Linked DNA regions of Lytechinus pictus. The protein of the gene in region 1 binds, or shares a complex with, the protein of each later gene. Links are inferred from orthologs where the notes say so. Each region holds a gene or a part of one and is shown in the gene's direction. Other genes may lie near its edges.

Region 1 (8,252 bases):
ATGGGATAGGTATGTAACTAAACAATTGATGCGAGCGCGAAGCGCGAGAGGAAGAAAATTGAGATTTTAGACATATATAAAAGCGGGACACTCTATTCATATTTTGTAAATCATAAATAGGATATAGTTAATTGGGTATCATTAATAATGCGATCGTGAAGCGTGAGCAGACAATTATTGATATTCTTATGTGAAACTGGATAATTTAAGTATATTTAATATAAAGAACATGCAGGCTATCGCGCATGACCTAGATTTAGACCTAGAATCTGGGCAGTCTGAATACATTTGTTTAATGGAACATTATGAAATACACGTAGACAATAGGAACTTGGCAAATCAAACAATTTGACCACGCAGCGTGAGCTTAAAAATGCTGATATGTAGACTATAAAAGGGACATTTTACAGCTAGAACACTTAAATTTGTTAATGAAAAAAAATTGATGAGAGCTCGATGTCCGAGCTAAAATATATTTTGTATATTGACTTCAAAACTTGCTCCATATCAGCCTATTGAGCAAGATATGAATTTCATCGAACAGGCAATTCTGGCGCGAAGCGCAAGCAAAAGTTTGGTTTTTTTTGCAAGTCTTCCCTTCACATTATTTCATTCACTCGTCTTCCTCCTCTTATTTTCCTCTTCTTTTTTCTTCTGTTTTTCATTTTCATTTTTTGGATTTTTCCTTTTTTTTTTCTTTCTCCTTTTTTTTTTTTTGCTCTGCCAATTTTTTTCAGGGGGGAACCTGGGGGGCACACCAAATCTCAGGGGGGGGGCACGTGCCCCCAGGCCCCCCGTAGCTACGCCACTGGAAGGGAGGGAGGGAAAATGAGAGAGAAAACAATTTAGTGAGAGGGGAGAAGAAAGGAAGGGGGAAAGAGAAGGGAAAAAGGTAAAAGGGGGAGAAAGAAAACGGAAAAATATAGGGAAAGGAAACGAAAAGAAAAGGGTGGAAAAAACATACGACATCGACAACAAATTTATTTTGCTACCACATACAAAACTGCAAATTCTTTCAAATATTTTGTTGGGGACAACATTCATATGTTAGGGATCGTGCGCCCGTTGCCCCCCCCCCCCCCCCATCCATTTTAAGTAGGATGAGGCGAAGAGGTAGAAAAAAAAAACAGAATGAGAAAATAAGATGAATGACTTCTAACAAAATATTCAAAACAAAATTAAATGATCTAATGTCTTATTTGTAACTTTTGGAATTCCCCAAACTGCATAACTTTTTAAAAAATTAAACCAAGTGGAAATTAGCCGAAGTGGAAATTAGACCAAGTGCTGTTAGACCAGCTGGAAATTAGACTAAATGGTTTTAGCCCAACTGTTCATTAGACGAATTGAATATTAGACCAAGTGGGAATTAGACGAACTGGTTATAGAAGAAATGGGTTTAAAATATATTTAGACTAAGTTGGACGAACTGATAAGTAGACCAAGTGGTATTAGACCATCCGATATTTCACCCTTTGATTCGTTTATGATTAAAGTTATAATTACATTTAAAATTCATTTGAATCATGTATTCATAAATGGACTGATTATAACCATACATCCATGATGTAAGAATATATTGAGCGCGGGAGCGGAGCAGCCGCGCGAGAATTTTTAGAATGCAAAATTAGGCCAGTTTAAACACTTAGTTAGTACAGTATTTGTGATTTAAACAAAAATATCACTTCTGTCTTGAAAAGTGTGGGGATGATTGAACATGCTACCCCGAGCCCTCTCTCCGAAAAGTGGGGGGTATTTATCACCTGACATTAAGTTATGCTCTACACTTTATTCTCTCAATGCTGTTTTGAAGAGAAATACACTGTTAATATATATAATACCTAAAATCTCTGTGTGTTTCGTACCAACCGATATTACAACCCCCCCCCCGCACTTGCACTCTCGCACACTTGCACTTTCACTTTTATCAACATGATTATAACTTTCTCATTTGAATTTTTCTTTCCCTATCTACTTTTTTGTAATATTCCTATTATTTTGTGCAATAATATATAAGTCTCTTTTATTGCACTGTTTGTCTGGTTTTCCCCTTTCCCTTTGAGGCCTTTATCAATTTCAAGCTCTAAGCTTAAGATGGAGGTCTCCCACATTTCAAAATGAATTATTTATTTTTTCTGCTATTTGTTTTAATGATAATTAAAAAAAATCATCAGGTATAAATATATTCAAATTAGATTGTTTGAATTATTCAATTCAATTCAATTCAATTGAATATATATATGCATATGTTATTCATTATGTCATTTGCTTATTGTTATGTTATGCTAAGAAAAAGTGATTACACTTGTGTATATATACTTTTGTTATTGGAATGTGGAAATAAATAAATCAAATCAATCAAATCATATATCCCCAAGCCCAATTGCCTATTATACTGACCTATAATAAATACATTTCAAGGACAAGGACCCGATATGTATCTCACTGATCAGATAATGCGAGCGCGAAGCGCGAACTGAAAAGTTTTGATATATTCGGACCTAAAAAGGGGACATTTAAGGACTATCTTTTAGGAATTCATGAGAGCATACATATCTCACCATAGTCATCTAATGCGAGCGCCAAGCACTTGCTGAGTTTTGTTAGAATTACACCTAAACCAAAGACCTAAACACATGAAGCACTTTTTGTAGTCATTGTAATCATGAACATGAACATTTTTGAAAGGACTGTTTTTAGGAATTCATATAATGATCAGATCTCACCAATCCACTAATGCGAACGCAAGCACGAACTGGAAATGTTTTATATTCAGACCTTAAAAGGAGGAAATCACTTAAATAAGTCATGAAAAAGAAGAATATGTCACTATATAAAACAATAATAACTCGAAGTGCGAGGAAATATTGTGTATATTAACTAGAAAACGGGATGCTTTAGTATAAACAGTATTATAAATCTCATTAAACAGATAATGCAAGCACCAGGAATGATGAACACATAGGCCCAAAGCAAATTACGTTTCATAAAGTTATGAAGAAAAAAATCTTATGCAATATAATATAATATAATACAATACAATACAATACAATACAATACAATACAATACAATACAATACAATACAATACAATACAATATAATATAATATAATATAATATAATATAATATAATATAATATAATATAATATAATATAATATAATATAATATAATATAATATAATATGATATGATATGATATGATATGATATGATAATAATAATAATAAGACATTTATAATGCGCAAAACATATCCACCCTATTAGGGGTGCTCAATGCGCTTACAATAAACTTAACTCACTACTGGTACAACTTACAATTTGGCCATTAGATAAGTTTTCAAACTGGCCTTGAAATGTTCTACTGATCTACAGTCTTTTAGTTTAGTTGGAAGATTGTTCCATAGACGGGGAGCTGCTGATGCAAATGCACGATCTCCCCATGACCGTCTGGTTTTGGGAATAGAGAGATCAAAAGAAGTCTTAGAAGAGCGAAGACCAGAGCGACCAGGTTTGCGAAAATCAAGAAGAGATGAGATGTATTCTGGTGAAGAGAAGGTCAGCGCACGATATGCTATCAGAAGAATTTTATAGGTTATGATAATGATATGATATAATATAGATATATGGCTTTGAGAGGCATGGTTGTTTCTAGAGGCTCAAGGGGACCGCAACGCGACTATGCCCGAGGGCATGGTCTGGCCGAGTGCGGTACCCGCGAGCCGAATTGAAACAACCAACATGTCTCGAATATAAAAGCAGTCCATATATATTTTATGAACCGAATTATTAAACATAAACGTTAGGGCCTGGTCTAGGTTTAGATCTAGTAAAACTAAAACAAAAAAGCCTGCCCCTGGCCTAGGCCCAAAGCTAACGTAAGGTCTAGGCCCTTACTTAGCCCTGCCCTGAAGTTAGGTCTCAAAATCGAATATCAAAGCAGTTCCCGAGCAGTTCATACCGATAGTCCCTACTAGGCCTAGGCTAGATATTTTTAGGAACCAAATTAGGGTCTGATTCTGAATAGGGTCTAGGGCCTACAGTGCATGTAGCTAGATCTAAAGTTCAGTCTTAAAATTTAGACTAGAGTATAATCTAACGTTAGATCTAGTCGACTAAACCTACGTCCTAACGTTAGATCTAGAGTCTACTCTTAACTTCTAAGCTAACGACAATTGTCCCAGGCTAAGGTTAAGTAACGACATGAACGAGTTAAACGTTTATTGTTAGAAAGTGCAGTGACCGTCTAATCTTTTCACCTGACTCACTATTTGCGAGCATGCATTTGAGCGAACTTCCCCAAGACTTGATGATTGATATACATCCGTTATGTCCTTAATAAGCTAGTTTTATTTTCAATAAATGCCATATATTTTAACAGGAATTAACAAGCAAAAGTCAAAGATCGGCATCGTTCCATCGATATGTCATATCCGTTGCGCGCACTTGCGCAATAAGCGCGTAAATGCGCGAATTGTCTAAAACTTTCGATCAAATCGCGCGGATATTTATGGTATCCGTAATCACCGCAGAAAGCAACATTTTGCATGCAATCAAATGGGGATTTCAGCCAAATTTTGCTATGCCCGTCGTTAAGGGGCGGATCAGGGGGCAACGGGCAGTATTCTTGTTAACTATGCCCGTTGCCCTTGGTTACCACCTTAGTTTGTTGTTTTGAAGGCATGGTCGTTTACATGACCTCCGTTTTGACCAATCAGAGGAACGGATTATTCGACATTGAGGTTTATAAAAAATAATATAATATAAATTTCTTCTTTCCCCACTATACGTTTCTCTTTTTCTCCCCCCCCCGTTTTTTTTTTTGGGGGGCAGCCGATTGTTGGGGGGGGGGTCCCCCATGTAGTTACGCCACTGATTTGAACTGAACTCTAATCAATTCAAATTATACATCTCTAACTATGACTCAGCCCTTTACTGACATTACTGCCACTCTGCTGCACGTTGAGATCATGTAGATGAGTAAACCGAAACCATTGAGTGATTGTGACCGATTAACGAAACGCGAACCGAACCGAACAGAAAGACGTATTCGTAGGCCTAATTTAAAACTATTATTGGTATTATTTTTATATGTTGAATTAATCATTTGAATAGTCACTTAATTGCAATTTATTAAAAATTAAGCTTAATTTAATTTAAAGCTTAAAATTCATGTCTTATAAAATATAACATAAGCTTGATGTCAAAATGTTTACGAGTATTTCAAATTGGCAACTTCTTTGACCTGAAACAGCAATATGGCACCGGAAAAGGTGTCCTAGATATCGTCAAAAACCACCAAATATTTTACCGAACAAAATTACTGATCGGAATTTTCACTTGCTTATAGTTTTCTACAGTATCTACGGGATCAGCGGGGGGACATTTCAGCCCACTTGATGATCTACAACTTGAAAGAATGAAATAATGAATCTGGATTCCCTGTCGCTGGCCTTTTCTCAGATTACCAATCTTGTGGCCAATCTCAACAAAAAGAATTACAAGCAAAGTGTCGGGGAAATCTCTCGCGTAAGTAAAGTAACGTTTATAGATGTCGTTGGTTGAGTAAAAAAAAATTATGTAATTTTTGTTTGTCTTAAAAATATTCATGAAGTTAGAACGCTTCAGGATTAATTTTGGTCTTCATTTGGATTTTAAAATGACAACAAAAAAATTCATTTTTCATGACACTGTCAGCTGGTCAGTGTCACTGATCATGGATTCATTAATATCGCGACGCTCAGAACAGAGACAGAGGCGGATTGCGTTTTGGGATCGAAAAGGGGGCAAGCAAGCTTGCTCCGCGCACTCGAGACTGCGGTGCGCGGAGCTACATGTAGCTTGCTTGCCCCCGGCCCCCTTTTCAATCCCATACAAAAGAATCAATGCAAGGATCCGATGACCGGGCCGGGGTAATAATATATCTGTAAAGCGCTTAGAGACGTCGTTCCGATGTGTTAAGCGCTATATAAATGCGGAATATTATTATTGCGGTTCTGATTAGCCATAAATCTATTCATCAATTTGATTTAGGATGATGACAAAGTACCGACTACCGGTAAGTGTTGAAAACAACATAATAAAAAAAAGAATCAAGTTGACTGTCGACTGCCATATCTTCATTTGCAATTCCTCATTTGCTATGACTGCAGAGTGTAAAAAAATAGGATGAAAACCAATTTATTTACTCTGGCCAATGTACATGTAAATCATCGTTCTGAATTCTGAGTTCTGACCATCACCCGGGGCCGAAGGCCGAAAGAATGAAACAAGAACAGGTCTGATTTTGCTTTGGCATGCATTGACATTGTTGTTTCATTTATAATTATACGGCGCATATCATTCAGCAGTGATTATTTGCGCTAGCATAATTTGCATGTTTTAGAAGAAGAGTAGTCTCAGCCAGGCATTTGGAGAATTAATCGTTTGCTAATGTGAGAATATCTCTTCTAATTTTAGACTCCTGGCGCTTGTTTGTAATCGATCAAAGAGCGCAGGTCACAAAAAATACTGTTCTACATAAGCATGACAAGGCCTAAGAATTTCCCGCCAGCAGATGAAAAAATGAAACTTGTAAAATTATATTAATTCTGCCTGCTTTAAAGGTCAAGTCCACCCCAGAAAAATGTAGATTTGAATAAATAGAGAAAAATCAAACTAGCATAACGCTGAAAATTTCATCAAAATCGGATGTAAAATAAGAAAGTTATGACATTTTAAAGTTTCGCTTATTTTTCACAAAACAGTGATAAGTATGCACAACTTAGTGACATGCAAATGAGACAGTCAATGATGTCCATCACTCGCTATTTCTTTTGTTTTTGTCTCACCTGCATAGCAGAGTGAGACTATAGGCGCCGCTTTTCCGACGGCGGCGGCGGCGTCAACACCAAATCTTAACCTGAGGTTAAGTTTTTGAAATGAAAGCATAACTTAGAAAGTATATGGACCTAGTTCATGAAACTTGGCCATAAGGTTAATCAAGTATTACTGAACATCCTCCCTGAGTTTCATGTCACATGACCAAGGTCAAAGGTCATTTAGGGTCAATGAACTTAGACCATGTTGGGGGAATCAACATCAAAATCTTAACCTAAGGTTAAGTTTTTGAAATGTCATCATAACTTAGAAAATGTATGGACCTAGTTCATGAAACTTATACATAGGGTTAATCAAGTATCACTGAACATCCTGCATGAGTTTCACATCACATGACCAAGGTCAAAGGTCATTTAGGGTCAATGAACTTTGGCCGAATTGGGGGTATCTGTTGAATTACCATCATAACTTTGAAAGTTTATGGATCTGATTCATGAAACTTGGACATAATAGTAATCAAGTATTACTGAACATCCTGTGCAAGTTTCAGGTCACATGATCAAGGTCAAAGGTCATTTAGGGCCAATGAACTTTGGCCAAATTGGGGTATTTGTTGAATTACAGCCATAAATTTGAAAGTGTGTTGGTCTAGTTCATAAAACTTGGACATAATAGTAATCAAGTATCACTGAATATCCTGTGCGAGTTTCAGGTCACATGATCAAGGTCAAAGGTCATGTAAGGTCAAAGAACTTTGGCCACGTTGGGGGTATTTGTTGAATTGCCATCATATCTCTGTAAGTGTATTGGTCTAGTTCATAAAACGTGGAAATAAGAGTAACCAAGTATCACTGAACATCTTGTGCGAGTTATAGTAGTTTTCAAAATCAGCACTGCTGCTATATTGAATCGCGTGATGCAGGTGAGACGGCCAGAGGCATTCCACTTGTTTATTGTTTGAATTATACAATATTTCATTTTTTACAGGTTTGACAATAGGGACTAATTCGACTGAATCATATAGTTTTAAGCAATGCTAGTTCCAACTGTTCATGGTGGAATCAAGCGTTGTTTCACTTGACAATGAGGAGAAAATTAGAATATTTAATGTAATAGAATACAAAAGAAATAGTGAGTGGATGATGTCATCAGTCTCCTCATTTGCATACCGACCAGGATGTGTGTATAACTGTTTTGTGAAAATTAAGCGAAACCTTAAAATGTCATAACTTTCTTATTTTAGGTTCGATTTTGATGAAGTTTTCAGTGTTTTGGATTTTTCTCTTTTTATTCAAATCAACTTTTTATTGAGGTGGACTTGTCCTTTAAGTTAACAAAATGATATCAAAATCTGACTTTCCTTTGCAAAATGCTAGACCTTTTAGGAACCGAAAGAAAATTTTGCCAATGGTTACACCGCCATCTTGGCTATCATG
Region 2 (7,538 bases), on another chromosome or scaffold:
GCTTGAAATTTCCAGTTTTCGCGTCTCATTAGGCATTTATAGATCAGATATTAATTTTAATGGTTAAATTGTCCTTTCTGTTTCATCTCGCGCTTAGCAAGAGGAATAGGAAGATATTCATCACTTTCCCGGTCCTTTGTCAAATCTATCAGCTCTTTATTAAGTGCGATCCAAATCCACCTCACAAAGTACTTGAGCTGAAATTGACCCCTTTTTCAGATCAGAATGTCAAATATTTTAAGGTCGCGCTTCGCGCTCGCTTTGATTTTCAATTTCATGTTAAAATATATATTCAGAATGCCTAGATTGTAGGCCTAAATCGGAAACACGCGAGCGCATGTCTATCTAGATACTCAACTTGTTAGTATTTCAATCATTATCCAGTTTCTGAAAAACAAAATTCTGCTAGCGCTTTGTGCTCGCATTTTTTATGTAGGAAGAACCCCTATTGCTCATCCTTATTATACAAAACATGAATAGAGTGTCCCATTTTTTAGGTCTAAATCTCGATTTTTTTTCCCGCTCGCGCTTCGCGCTCGCATTAATTGTTTTATAGCGACGATCCTGTTCATGGTCACAATAATTGATTACAATTTTCCATTCTTTATGTAGAAGTGTAAAAAAAAAATTGGCTCGCGCTTGCATTATTTTATTGTTGAAATATGTAACGTCTCCATGGCTAAGTGAAATAAGCAGTCCTTAACAGGTACCTTTTTGATCAGTTCAAAACGTATACAAAAATATTATGCTCGCGCTTTGCGCGAGCATTATTAAGGTAACAAAGATCGGCAATTTGACATCCTTTCCATGATGATTTAAAAGACATGACTAGACATGTCTCGTTTTTAGGTCTAAATCTTCAAATTTTGTGCTCGCGCTTCGCATCAATTGCTAAGTTATATACCTATCCTGTTTAAGTTACAAAAAGTGCCTATGATTTCAATTCTGTTCGCGCTTTGCGTTCTTAGTGATTATTTAGTTGCATACACATCTTTTTCATGATAAACATTGCCCAGAAATTTCAAACTTTGGGGAAAAACATAATTTTTTAAAATAAATTAGCTCGCATTATATAAAAAGGGTTATGATATCATATATTTATGTTGATTTATAAGACAAAATTTAGAAGTGACAATTTCTTCATAGAAACAAATATAAATCATATTCGCGCAGCCGATTGGGGAAAAATAATGGTGAAAAAAAATTTGGCCCCCCCCCCCTTTGGCGAAAGCTGGATCCACCCCTTCATCCTATTTATTTCTCTCCTTCCGTCCATCTCTCCATTCTTCCAGGAGCTGCGGAATAGTTTTGAAAAATGTTTTTTTTTTTTTTTCTACCAATAAAATTATTAATGAAAATAATGCGGTACAAAAATCAATGTCATTCTTCTTCCTGTTTTAAACTATATACGTGTACAAAAAACGCACCACCAGCTAAAAAAACAAAAACAAAAAAACTTGGGGGTCACAACCCGAGCACCCCACTTCCCAGGGCCATATACAAGGATTCTAATTTATTAATTTTAATGAGACATCATTTGTTGAAAAAAAAATTAAAGAGACCTATTAATGACTGCATGTGGTCCTACCGGTACGCTAGATCTGCGCACAAAACTGCTTTCATATGACACGCAAAAGGGATGAATCAAAGTGGAATAAAGCAAACAGGATTTAGAAACTGCCTTCGTTGGCGTTCAATAATATGGTTGGTATGATACAAATTCTGCTAGCTTATTCGTACTATTATTTCTGGCCATTGTACTTAGATCAAAATTTTAATGTGGAAACATTTTTTATTTTTTTTTTAATGATACAAATCGAGCGAGGCAAGCACAATGATATGGGGCAGAGTTCCAAGTCTTCATGCCCCAGACTGAATATATTTTGACATCAACTTACTCTAAAAACAAGTGTTTATGTTTTATTTTGTATTATTCATTTTTTAAGTATAAGGTAAAATTATAAGTCTCGGAGTGTCAGTTAATGCTGCAAAAGATGTATAAGGCCTACTCTTTTGCAGCACTATCCAGCTACCGCGGCGAGGACGCCCTCCGAGAAGGTAGCCATATCAAAACTAAAAACAAAAAATTCCCCTTAGATTACTGGTGGATCCAAGGGGCATAATTATCGAGAGCCAAAATTGTAATTTGTAATATAAGCATGCCCTTTTTACCCAAGCATGCCCCCTTGAAAGTGAGGATATATATACATATATATGCCCTATTTTTTTGCTTGTCAATTTTTAGGGACGAAATGACTTTCAATTTTTGGTTAAAAAATATTTTGTAATGCTCATCAAATTTGCATCGGGAAAATGTGCCCTCCATAGGCCCTGTCCCCCCTAAATTTGAGGTGGGGCCATTGGCAGCGGAAATAAAAAAATTAGGGAGGGGGACCACTAAAATTTTGTGACAAGCCCCCTCCCCCAAAAAAGTTTATCAACCCAAATTTTAGGGGAGACCACATGAATTTTTTAGGGGGGTCCACTGGAATTTAGGGGGCACGCAGAAAAAAAAATTGACAAGCAAAAAAAAAGGTTATCAAAAAAAAAATTAGGGGGGGACGATCGTCCCCCCACCTCAAATTTAGGGGGGGCACGACCCCCCCCCCCCCCGCTGCCTATGGGGGATGTTGTTAGCTTTTTGGGGGGCTAAATTTTTTTTTCGGCCTCCCCCCTTTGATAACCTTTTTTTGTCAAAAATTTTGGTGCCCCCCTAAATTTGTTGACTGCCGCCGCTAATAGTGCCCCCCCCCCCCCTTTGGAAATCCTGGACCCTCCCTTAATTGCCTAGATATAGATGTTTAAATAATTAATTATTTTGAAAGTCAGAGTGCCCTCGCCCCCCCCCTCATGCTTTAGTTACCATGGCATAAAACTTATGTCATATCTAATCCTTATATCAGCAAGAGGTCAGAGCATACTATCCGTCACCAAACGACTGCATTTGAGCCATTCATTTTCCCTTTTCTCTTCTTTCTATTATTTTCTTGTTATTTAATCATTGTTTATTTGTATAAGCTCGGATCCGAGACTAACTGATACGGTGAACGCACTTTCGTTCGAGTTGTGTATTTGCGTAATAATAGACCGAGGCGAGAAAGGACACGCCCACAATCCCTCGTTCAGTGCCGAGCTCTGTGCGTACGTGTCGACCAAATTTCAAAGAGAAATTTGTACACAAATCTGTCACAATTCGGACCTAATTTCGCCTCAGATTAACAGATATTTAGATCTCTTTGGAACACTAAAAGTCATTCACTTGGGGTTTTTTAATATGCTGATTCAGGTGAGGTACTTTTCAATGGTTTTAAAACATAGATTTAAAAAATTAGATTTTCCTTTTAAGATCCCTAGTGGTAGATTATCTCCAATATCAGAGACTTTTGTATAGAATTTGGGTATCCAATTTCAGAGACAGTCTCCAGTTTTGGAGACCAATTTCCTTTTACATTTGCTGCAAAAGGATTACCTTGGCGGCAAATAAAAATGTGATAAGCAGATTCCTCATGAAAAATTACCCCTTTTCACCGTCTACTTTAAAAATTCACCGTCTACTTTTGTTTTGATAAGGATTTTTGTTGTCAATCACACACAAAACAAATGGGCTTCTGACCTCAGTGAGACAACATTTTGGGTGGAAAAAATCATGCTTTTGTTGGTGTTGTTTCTTTTGTCCTTTTGCAAAGCAAGTCTCCAATGTGGGAGATTGTCTCCCCTATTGGAGAGAGTCTCCCATATTGGCCGTGCGCCTCTACTGCTGGTACGTGTATGACAAAACACTAGATGGTGGCCTGTACTGTTTCCATAAGAAGAAGACCTTTCTCCTTCCTCTTTTTTGATTTTTCCTTTTCTCATTCTTCTCTTCGATCTCTTTTCTACATTTTTCATCTTTTCTATTTCTTTTTTCCCTTTCATTTCTTCTTTGATCTTTCCCCTATTAATCTACTTTGTTTTAATTCTGATGTATTTTGCGATTGTTTTTTTCTCTCTCTCTTGTTAAGAAAGTACCTATTTGAATTGAAATGTGCTGTTTATTTAATTAATTGTCATGACTGCTTGCAGTGAATTAATGAATTCAATAAACTTCAGGGTAAAAATATGTGTCATAATGAAATCTTGAAAATGTGTTTGATCGTTCAAAGGAAAGTTTCATGTTTACTCTTGCATGTGACACGATGCTCCTAAATCGAGTTTAAATTTTGCATAAGTTTCGATCTATATGATGAAGTTTAAGTGAAAAAAAAACCCATTTTATTTGTATGAAACTTACCAAGTATATTTTGAATGTAAACCCAAATTATGTGAATTCTATTAGTTTTCCAACCAACACTACAATAAAAAAAAAATCATATTGCAATGTGTTTTTTTATATTACAGGGCACAGGAAAGGAACTCATTCTTAATGAAAGCAAAGAGAATACAATGCTATAACACCTGCTGAGAAAGTTAGAGAAAGAGCCAGAAGAGCATTGAAGAGTGTTTTATAAGGAAGACTGGTTGACAAGTACAGACACCATGCCAACTCAGACTAATGAACCTCATATTGTTGACGTTTGGAACACAAATTTAGAGGATGTGTTCAGGAAGATTCGCATCATCATACAGAAATACAAATATGTGGCCATGGTAATTATTACTCATTTATGTGCATTCTGTGAAATATACAGTTTATACCTCATTCCCACCATCGTGTGATCTGTTACGAATGCCTTGATTGGCTTTCTGTTGCTGATCCCAAATTTTTTTGACCTTATCAGAATTTTTTAATGATCACTACAATAGTAATGACTTATCTGAAATGATAATTTCAATTATTTCACGATCAAGACCACATTTTCATTCATGATGCGAATTGTGACAGTGTGCACTAACGTTAGGTATAAATTGGCAGTTTGACTGAGTTTGAAAGGGAACTGGAAGCCTGCTTTACATGGACTCTTAATTTTGTTGTCTCACCTGCATAGCAGAGTGAGACTATAGGCGCCGCTTTTCCGACGGCGACGGCGACGGCGGGCGGCGGCGGCGGCGACGGCGGCGGCGGCGTCAACACCAAATCTTAACCTGAGGTTAAGTTTTTGAAATGACAGCATAACTTAGAAAGTATATGGACCTAGTTCATGAAACTTGGCCATAAGGTTAATCAAGTATTACTGAACATCCTGCCTGAGTTTCATGTCACATGACCAAGGTCAAAGGTCATTTAGGGTCAATGAACTTAGACCATGTTGGGGGAATCAACATCAAAATCTTAACCTAAGGTTAAGTTTTTGAAATGTCATCATAACTTAGAAAATATATGGACCTAGTTCATGAAACTTATACATAAGGTTAATCAAGTATCAATGAACATCCTGCTTGAGTTTCACATCACATGACCAAGGTCAAAGGTCATTTAGGGTCAATGAACTTTGGCCGAATTGGGGGTATCTGTTGAATTACCATCATAACTTTGAAAGTTTATGGATCTGATTCATGAAACTTGGACATAATAGTAATCAAGTATTACTGAACATCCTGTGCAAGTTTCAGGTCACATGATCAAGGTCAAAGGTCATTTAGGGTCAATGAACTTTGGCCAAATTGGGGTATTTGTTGAATTACAGCCATAAATTTGAAAGTGTGTTGGTCTAGTTCATAAAACTTGGACATAATAGTAATCAAGTATCACTGAACATCCTGTGCAAGTTTCAGGTCACATGATCAAGGTCAAAGGTCATGTTAAGGTCAAAGAACTTTGGCCACGTTGGGGGTATTTGTTGAATTGCCATCATATCTCTATAAGTGTATTGGTCTAGTTCATAAAACGTGGAAATAAGAGTAACCAAGTATCACTGAACATCTTGTGCGATTTATAGTAGTTTTCAAAATCAGCACTGCTGCTATATTGAATCGCGTGATGCAGGTGAGACGGCCAGAGGCATTCCACTTGTTTCATTTTTTATACCTCTGCCAAACATTGTGAATGGGGTGTTTGTAAGGTCATTTATAATCAGTCACTGTGTACAGTTTTCACCTGTTGCTCTCAAGACTTATTGCACACATCCGTCTTGGAGTGAAGATGTACAAGACACATTTTCCATGATAAGTGTGTGGCACTGGGTTGCCATGGTAACAGTATGTTGAAATAAAAAATCAGGGGGAAAATTCTTTTGAAGTAAGGTTGTCAATGCTCACTATAGTTAGGTACTACATTTCCACGATAAACAAATCAGGAAAATTGAATTTTCATTAAAATTATTTCTTTCAGAAGGCTCTTTTGATAGGGAAGGAGTATTAAATTAATGATATTTTTAGTATGATTTTGTTTCAATAGTATATTTGAGGCATATCAGTTAGATCAAGAATAGATCACCAGTTGTGGTTAAAGTCATGCATAACTTCATTAATACATGAAGCTTTATGAAATAGCTCCACTTATTGTAAAAATCAGGTCAAACTAGTCTATAACACATTTTAGCAAAGAATATGATAAATTGAATCTGAATTATTCATGCATAACAGAGCATCACTTGTGTGTTGCTCTTGGCTACTTAATTCATTACAATGCTTTGTTGTCAACTACATGTAGTCTCTCTATATACCAGTGATTCCCTTGTTGAAATCCTTATTTCACCAGGATACAGAGTTTCCTGGCGTTGTCGCCCGGCCACTGGGTGAGTTCCGCACCAACTCCGAATATCAGTACCAGCTGCATCGATGCAACGTAGACTTGCTCAAGATAATACAGCTAGGCATTACTTTCTGTGATGAACAGGGTAATTTTCCCAAGACGGGCTCAACGTTCCAGTTCAACTTCAGGTTTAATCTCAGGTAAACCATCATGATACGAGTCCTGTTGAGACATCATTTTGTTGATGCAAGAACTCACCAGATACTGCATGTCAATTTGTAGAATTAAAAAAAAAAAGCCCCTTACTTCTTAAAAGATAATGATGAATGTAGTTGCAGTAAACACTGATTTTATGGGAAAGTCTAAAACCGAGTTATAAAATCACTACATCATCGTAGGTGTAGATCAGGGACTTGTTGCATAAAACTTTTGCCATTAACAAAAACTCTGGCAAACAAAATTATGCCATTGCAATTTACACATTAAAAACTCTGGCAAAAAATTGCCAGAGTTTTTTTACGGCAAAAGTTTTATGCAACAGGTCCCAGGTACAGTTCCATAAACTGAACTTTGTGGAATTATGAAATCTAGGCTGAAAATCGATCACACTGAAGATCGCCAACACAGATAAGCATGTGTGGGGCAATGTATTATTAGTGCTTGTTCTTGTTTTGCTAATTGCTCTGCAGTAATACAATTCCTTTTATTCGTATAAGGACTTGGGTGGTCATTTGATTGGTTTCTGTACAAACTCATTTTGAAGTTGTTACCACAACTGGCATTTATCTTTCGCATGCCAGATGAATTCATTTTTCTATGGGATTCATGTGTAATATTCAATGCCAATTTAACCTCGGCTAAACCTTCAATACATAGTGAACAAGTTTTTTTAGGCATCACCTTGTCATTGCGAAAACCCTCTTGATAC

The links. Proteins that work in one complex are often made in the same cells at the same time.
Region 2: CCR4-NOT transcription complex subunit 1-like (region 1) and CCR4-NOT transcription complex subunit 7-like share a complex: the UniProt entries of both Caenorhabditis elegans proteins name them as parts of the CCR4-NOT complex. The link is inferred for Lytechinus pictus from reciprocal best matches to the Caenorhabditis elegans genes let-711 and ccf-1.

The regions. Positions count from the first base shown.
Region 1 is NC_087246.1:27,746,873-27,755,124, forward strand, and holds the start of CCR4-NOT transcription complex subunit 1-like, read left to right. Parts: upstream 1-5,233; 5' UTR 5,234-5,424; coding exon 5,425-5,526; intron 5,527-8,252. UniProt on the Caenorhabditis elegans protein: Scaffolding component of the CCR4-NOT complex which is one of the major cellular mRNA deadenylases and is linked to various cellular processes including bulk mRNA degradation, miRNA-mediated repression, translational repression during translational initiation and general transcription regulation.
Region 2 is NW_026974140.1:8,844,921-8,852,458, reverse strand, and holds the start of CCR4-NOT transcription complex subunit 7-like, read left to right. Parts: upstream 1-4,375; 5' UTR 4,376-4,515; coding exon 4,516-4,626; intron 4,627-6,616; coding exon 6,617-6,810; intron 6,811-7,538. UniProt on the Caenorhabditis elegans protein: Catalytic component of the CCR4-NOT complex which is one of the major cellular mRNA deadenylases and is linked to various cellular processes including bulk mRNA degradation, miRNA-mediated repression, translational repression during translational initiation and general transcription regulation.